2 linked regions of the Cricetulus griseus genome follow. The protein of the gene in region 1 purifies or fractionates together with the protein of each later gene. This does not show direct contact. Links are inferred from orthologs where the notes say so. Each region holds a gene or a part of one and is shown on either strand. Other genes may lie near its edges.

What was found.
Region 2: the proteins of Rnf111 (region 1) and Smad7 purify together in Homo sapiens (affinity purification with western blotting; 3 studies listed by BioGRID). This does not show direct contact. The link is inferred for Cricetulus griseus from reciprocal best matches to the Homo sapiens genes RNF111 and SMAD7.

The regions. Positions count from the first base shown.
Region 1 is NC_048597.1:182,022,755-182,026,398, forward strand, and holds part of Rnf111 (E3 ubiquitin-protein ligase Arkadia), read right to left. Parts: intron 508-3,644; 5' UTR 489-507; coding exon 1-488. UniProt on the Homo sapiens protein: E3 ubiquitin-protein ligase. Required for mesoderm patterning during embryonic development. Acts as an enhancer of the transcriptional responses of the SMAD2/SMAD3 effectors, which are activated downstream of BMP.
Region 2 is NC_048595.1:164,565,627-164,569,370, forward strand, and holds the start of Smad7 (mothers against decapentaplegic homolog 7), read right to left. Parts: upstream 2,530-3,744; 5' UTR 1,198-2,529; coding exon 582-1,197; intron 1-581. UniProt on the Homo sapiens protein: Antagonist of signaling by TGF-beta (transforming growth factor) type 1 receptor superfamily members; has been shown to inhibit TGF-beta (Transforming growth factor) and activin signaling by associating with their receptors thus preventing SMAD2 access.

The DNA.
Region 1 (3,644 bases):
CTCACTGAGACTTCTTTGTCCTCATCTGAAGTCACAGTATCAGAGTCCCCAAAATGGAGACTAGATGAGGGAGAAGACAGACACTCACTGAAGGAAGAGTCATTCTCTTCATCACTTGGTGTCTCTAGATGTTGCCTCAGCCCTAGGATTCCCTGATTTTCTTTGACACAATTCTGTACATATGAGGGGCCAGCCTGTTGGCTTTTGCGCTTTTTCCTCACAACCCCACTTTTTTCTTGTTCTTGCTGGTTGCCATTCATGTCCTTCTCTTGTTTTGAATCATCACACAGGTGAGAGAATTCATTCCCCACTTTGCTGTTAATCATCTCCACTTCTGCAGGGAAGCTCTTGGTGGCCCCGAGGGGCTGTGGGTGCAGAAGGACCCCCTTCAGACTCTCCTGTGTTGTGGGCGCATCAGGAGGAGTCCCACTCTTCATAGCCACTTTTAGGGTGTAGAGCTCGTTATATTCAGGAGTCCATTGAGACATGGGAAACTTTAAGGAAGGCCTAGGAGACACAAGGCAGACATTGAAAAGACTCAGTACATCTGTGCTACACAAGTGACTAAAGCCTGCAGCAGCCGTAACATGACTAAGCTAAGCCAGCCTCTTGACTTTCTCATCGAACACTCTAGTACCTCTGCTTCTACCCTACTTTCAGAAACACAGTCAACTAGCACATAGTACTGGAACTTACAGTAACCAAAAGGACCTGGCAATATTCCTGCTAGCTTCCACAATATAGCGTATTTGGTCAAAGCCAAACACTTCCTTTAAGTTTACTTCATTAAACTAAAGAAGAGAATTAGAATTCAAAAGACTGCCTTCTGCAGTCAAAGGAAACCAGTCTGCTGAAATCATACAGCACCCCATGTGCACTGCAGTATTAACCACAACAGCCAAAGGATGGATGAAAAAAATGTAGTAGATACATGATAGAATGCCATTCACCCATTAAAAAAAAAAATGAAATCCTTTCATCTGTAATAACCTGGACAGAATTATAAACCATTACCCTGAGTGAAATAAGGCAGGCTGAAAAGCAAGTTCCACAAGACCTTACTCACATGTGGGATTGACAAAACTAATTCACAAAAGCTGAGAGCAGAATGAAGGTTACCAGAGGCTGGAGAATGGAGTGGAGAGGTGAGATAAGGGATGGCTGGTCAACAAGTACTAGTTAGTTATATACAAAGAACAAGTTTTGGTAACAGTGTGTAATAATGTAATTCCAGGTGATACTATATTGCACATTTCAAACACCTGGAGAAGATTTTGAAAGCTATAACCTAGAGAAAGATGTCTGTGAATGCACATTTATTAACCTGACTGCAACATTACACTATGTACAAACTTATCAAAACACAAAGTACTGAAAAATATGTACAATGTTTAAGCTCTTGTGTATCATTTAAAACAAACTTTAGGAAGGCTACAGTCCTCAGGATTTATAGGCAGCCAATGGATGCTGGGGGAGGTGGAGGCATTTATAATCCCTTACTCATATTCCTATTAGAAACACTATTGGAAGTTCACCATCACCACCAACAAAGATGTAAAAACAGAAGAGAGATGACTTGCAAAGAGGAAAGAGGTCAATGGGAGTGGTGTGGAATAAGAAAGACATGAGAGGGGAATTAGAGGTGAATACAATCAATACATGTACATGAATAAAAATGTACCCATAAGGCTAGTAAAAACCTAAAATTTTAATGTAATTTAAATTATAAGAAAAAACACAATAAAGTCATCAAACCACAACACTTTGGAGGCTGAAGCGGGGAGTACTACAATGACGAATGCAAAGCCAGTCACAACAAGACTCTATCTCAAGAGATTCCTCCAGCCCTGCACCCCTCCCCCGACTAAAAAAAAGAATTCCAAAGACATGTGTTGTTGAATACTGCCTTCAGGGCATAACATGGTCATTGCCCTCTTCAACTGTCAGCAGATCTGAGTGCCAGCAGACTGTACAAGATTGGGCCATGAACTTTCCCTCAAAGGAAAGGGTTCATGAGGCCCACCTCTTCCCAAGAGTTTTCAGATAACCACTGTTAAAGCAGAGGTTGTGAGTCACCCCACCAGTGATCTGCGAGCTATTAGCAGTTGCTAAGAGGAGGGGGCTTATAAGGCCACATCTTTCCCCAAGAACTGACAGGAAAGCTGGTGCAGGAAGACAGATTGCTATTGCAGTGTAGTCACTGCAACAGCTCCCCTAAGAAACCCCAGTTAAACATTGGTTCAACCAAGCCACAGCTTAACTGGATGTTTCTATTGTTGATGCTATTTGGGGTGAGTAGACATTTGTTCATTTATCTTCAGAAAAGTTCATGTCTTCCCTTTGATATTAACATGCTAAAATTGTTTAATAAATACTTCCTGTACATTTAGATGGTTTTTACATTAAATAATTAGCTAGTAGAAATACAGCTTCTTTCTCCTATGACTCCATTTATCTAATGAGACCCTAATTCCAACAGAAGTTTGACACAACTAGTAAATTTAGTGTCAGTACAGCAAGCCTAGAGCAAGGACCAAGATTCTGAAGATAACTGTTAAATCAGCAGCACAGCAGAAAATAAAACTTCCCACAACTGGTCTAAGTGTGCTTAGATCATCTCACCTCTGAAACTGAGCTGTTGAACAAAGGAACTTAATTTACTGCATCAACACCAACACAATTTTTAAATTTTTTATTATTCCTTGATGCATGTGTGTGGCACTTGTGCCACGGTGTAAATATGAAGTCCACAAGACAACTTTGTGGAGCTGGTTCTCTTCAGAGATCAAACTTGGGTGCCCCGGCCTGGATGTCAAGCACCTGAGCTTTCTTTCTGGCTCACAGTGTAATTTTGTACATAAAAGAAGGATGACCATGTAAAATTGTGAACATCACTCAAGATGGAACACTCGCTAGAAAAGTAGTTAGTCTGACAAGTGAAGCACTGTGTTAGAGCAGTATGAGAATCTAAGCAGGCGTAAACACGGTTTGTATGCTTTAGAAACAGTCTGGTTTGTATGCTTTAGAAACCAGTACCTTGCTCAGACTGTCTCCAACTGCCAGGATCAAGGGCATCTCCTCCCTCAGCTTCCAAGTTCATCACTTCCATCCATCAACAATTGTGACCACTTCCTAACTTCCAAAATGATAGAACTGTTTCTACACTAACAGACATTTTCAAACCATTTGTTTGTTTGAGACAGGGCTTCTCTGTGTAATTCTGTCTGTCCTGGATCTCCCTCTGTAAACCAGACTAGCCTACAACTCAGAGATCACCCTGTCTCTGCCTCCAACTGCTGGGATTGAAGGTGTGTGCCACCACCAAATAAAACAGGTATTTTATGTCAAGGGTTTCCATAAATAACAGATACGTAAATGCATAATTGCATAGGTTTTGTGCTCTATTTCACAGCTCTATTATCAGAACAGACCTCATGAAAGTAAGATTACAATGACCTTTCCCTAGAGAATGCCATTCAATCCTTTTCTTTCTTTTTTCTGTGTAACAGCCTTGGCTGTCCTGGAACTCACCCTGTAGTGCAGGCTGGCCTCTAGATTCTTTCTTTTCTTATAAGATTCTTACAAGGGCAGGCAATGATGTTTGCAAGCTCAGTCATTAAATCCTACCTAGAGTATAGCACAAT
Region 2 (3,744 bases), on another chromosome or scaffold:
GGGACCCAACTTCTCCAGGCTGTTTGCTCCTTCTCACCCTGTGGCTGGCATAGCTAACAGTGGATACCTAGTTCGGTCTCCATCCTACCACAGCCCCCAAACTCCAAAGCTGAGAGGCCAGGGCAGTATCTGGGCCACTTGAGCCCCACGTGACTGTCCTTATTTACTAAAGGAGAGGAGACTTTCCAACTTTTATAGCTAGTTTCTCCCAACCTTCCTTGGCGGGCTTGGACAGAATCCAACTCGGCCACACACCTCAACGCCTATCCGGGTGCGGGGGAAGCGTGATCCCCACTTCGCTCTGAATTCCCTTGCTGACCCGGAAATAAGTGTGTCTCATTTTCTGCAGCATGTCTGTTCACTATAAGCATAAACAGTCTCCATGGGTCCTCCACCAGAGGGTGGAGGCGGGAGATAGAATATGAAAGGGAACCCCAAAGAATGTCCGAGTTTCCCCTTGTCCCTTCCCTGATTTTATTTCCCTCCTCTCCTCCAGAAGGGGGATGCACACACACCCTGGGAATTCTACCAACACTTCCGCGCAGGAGGGAACGAAAGGTGGACACAGAACAACTTCTTACCTAGTTCGCAGAGTCGACTAAGGTGATGGGGGTTGCAGCACACCAGCTCGGGGTTGATCTTCCCGTAAGATTCACAGCAACACAGCCTCTTGACTTCCGAGGAATGCCTGAGATCCGGCCACCTGAACACTTTGCACAGCAGGAGGGGGAGCGAGTAGGACGAGGGCGGCTGCGCGGGCTGCGCGCTGGCGGGCGCCCCCGGGCCCAGCCTGCAGTCCAGGCGGCCGGGCAGCAGTAGGCACGCGGTGCGCGTACCGCCGCGGGACTCCACGGCCTGGAGCAGCAGCTCCAACTGCCGCTCCTTGAGTTTCTTGAGCACCGAGTGCGTGAGCGCCTTCAGATCCGCCTCGGCGCCCCCGGCCGCCCCTGCACCCGAGGTTGGGGGATGGGGATGGTGGTGACCTTTGGCACCTCGGACCGCCTTGCCCAGGCAGCAGCCAGCCCTGCCCGCGCCGCCGCCACCAGCCCCATAAGCCCGGCCGTCCGTCGCCCCTTCTCCCCGCAGCTCGCCTCCGCCGCCGCCGCCACCCCCCACGCCCTCCTCCTCGTCCTCGCCGCCTGGCGCACGGCTCCTCCAGAGACGCCGGACGAGCGCAGATCGTTTGGTCCTGAACATGCGGGGCGAGGAGGCGAGGAGAAAAGTCGTTTGCCGGCTAAGGAGCGAACATGACCTCCGCACACCATGAAGAAGTCGGGCGCCGAGTTGTGGCAGCAGGCGCAGGCGACAGCAGCAACAGCAGGGGCCCGGGCAAGAGCGGCGGCGGCCCGATGGGCGCTCCGTGGCATGCGCCAGTCTCCCGGAGGCCGGGGCGCGCGCGGGGCCCGGGGGCGCCCGCCGGGGATCGGGGCCTGCGCTTCGGCTGCCCCACCCGGCGCGGCCCGCGCCCTGCGCGGCTCTCGGGCCCCGGCGCGCCCCGGAGAAACGCGGCCGCCGCTTCCCTGGGGGCGGCCGAGACTGCCCCGGTGGACGCCTCCCCCAAAAGAGGCCCCCCTACAGTAGCTCCCGAGTGTCGGGCTCGCCAGCCTCGGCTTCCTACATGGAAGATCCTCGGGGGCAAAAAAACGAAAGGCGTTAGGCTGTGCTACTGAAGGGAGGAAAAAGCCTCTTTCCCCCTTGCTAAGCAACTTAATTTGGGGGTGGGGAGAAGCAGGCAATTAAAAAAAAAAAAGCAGGCACACGATTTATTTTTTTCTTCTATATCCTTAGTAACCGGATCTCCTCGAATTCTGTGCTCGCGAAGACTAGAGGGAGGGGGCCGAGTAGACTTCACCCCGCGTGAGACGTCTGTAGGGTCTCTCAAAAAAAAAAAAAAAACCCAAAACCAAATATGCAAAGCCCCCAATGAAAAAAAAAAAAAAACACACACAACACCTCCTGGCACCTCGGAGGTCTGGGGGCCACCGGATGGAGCCCGGGTTTAGAAGAGAAAATGTTTACAAAGTAGAACAAGATGTTGGAGGGGTGGGGAAAAAACGTATCCACGAGTTACATCCCCCCCTTTTTTTTCCTTGCAGAACCCTGCGGGTCTTCCTTTCCTTTTCTTCTGCCAAAAAAAAAAATCGTATTTCTTTTAATCCACAGAAGGGTCTGGCTAGGCTGCTTCAATCTTGCGTGTCTGGGTGTTTCAGAGTCTCTGGTCTTTCCTCCTGCGCTCCCGGGGGCCCAGGTCCTCGGCGGGGACTTCCTCGGCTCTGGGGAAGCAGGGACAGAAGATGCTGCGGCGGCGGCTGCGCCCCGGGGGGCTGTCAGCGCAAGGGAGGGCGGCGCGGCGGCGGGCTCCGGCGGGTCGCAAGCTCTCGCCCCCGAGGGCACAAGCAGCAGACTAGTGTGGGGGCCGCCGATGCCCCTTCCCCTGGTCGCCGGTGGCTGCAGAGGCTGCCCGAAGGAGCTACTGGCCCCGAACCGACTGTGGCGGCAGGAGGCCCGGGTGTCCTCTCGCTGCCTCTTCCTCCGAGACTCTCCTCGTCTCGCCCGGGAGCCTCCTCGTCCCCCGTCCGCCCTCTCCTGGCGCTCGAGTCCTTCTGCCGCCGCTGGGGGCTCGCCGCGCCGCACTCAGGGACTCCGGGGCCGAGCGCTCGGCGGCGTGGCGCCGGCCGGCTGGCTGGCTGCGTCTCGGGCAGCTCTCTCCGGCGCGGCGAGCGGACCGAGCGAGGCGCCCGGCTGGCTCTGCTGGCGCAGCTCGGGGACAAGATCCTCTGTGCGCCGATCTGCTAGCGAGTGTCGCCCGGGGCCTCACGCCGTCTAGACACCCTGTCGCTTTAAAAAAAAAAAAAGCGATTGTGTTTCGCAAACAACAGATCGGGTTTCTAAAAGCTATTTCAACCCCCCCCCCCCGTTACCGCCACCCTCTCTTAGGTCTGCAGAGGGGTACGCATGGGTGGAGGGAGGTGGGAGGCCGAGACAGCCCGGGGGTCGACGGAGACCCAGCGGGAGCAGGGGAGAAATCGGAAGAGCTGGGGGCATGGAGCGGGCGAGTTTGGAAAGGAGCGAGTCGGTCGGTGGCCCGATTTAGACCAGCGGAGCTCGCCCCGGCGATTCATTCATTCGATTTGTTTTAAGGCCCTGGCGGCGGATCCCTTGGAAAGGGGAGGAGAACGCTGTCTGTTTCAAAGACATTTACACCGGCCAGGACAGAGGCCCTAGGAAGTGTGCGCTAGAGGGAACAGCCGGGCGGCCGAGGGCGGAGAGGCGGCGCGAATGTGACCTCAGCGGCCGCCGTGCTCCCTCCCGCCCTCTCCCGCTCCGGGCTCGGGTTTCTAGGACTGCCTGGAGAAGTGTGTCTTGTGCACAGCTCTGGAATGCATTTGGCAGGCTGACGAGCAGCGAGGGGCAGCATCCTGGAGGGAGGAGGGGTGCTGCTCGCCTGTGCGCCGCCGGCAGGTTTCCTCCCGGCCGTTTAGACCTCCGGCACCCGCTACTGGGCCTCCCGGCGCGGGAAGGTTACCCAGAGAGCAGACCAGCTTAGAGCTTTCATTCGCACGCGGGGGCCTGTTCCTGGGCCCTGCTTGGCCTCGTGGCTTTCAAGGTGCTTAGGGTCAGGGTGTTTTAAAAAGCCATTCCCAGATGCAGGTGACTGCTTGGAAGTAGGAAAGATACTTGTCAAGCAAAGGTCCTGGGTGCTGGTCTGGGAATAGTTACTACAGTGTTAGAATGATACTGAGG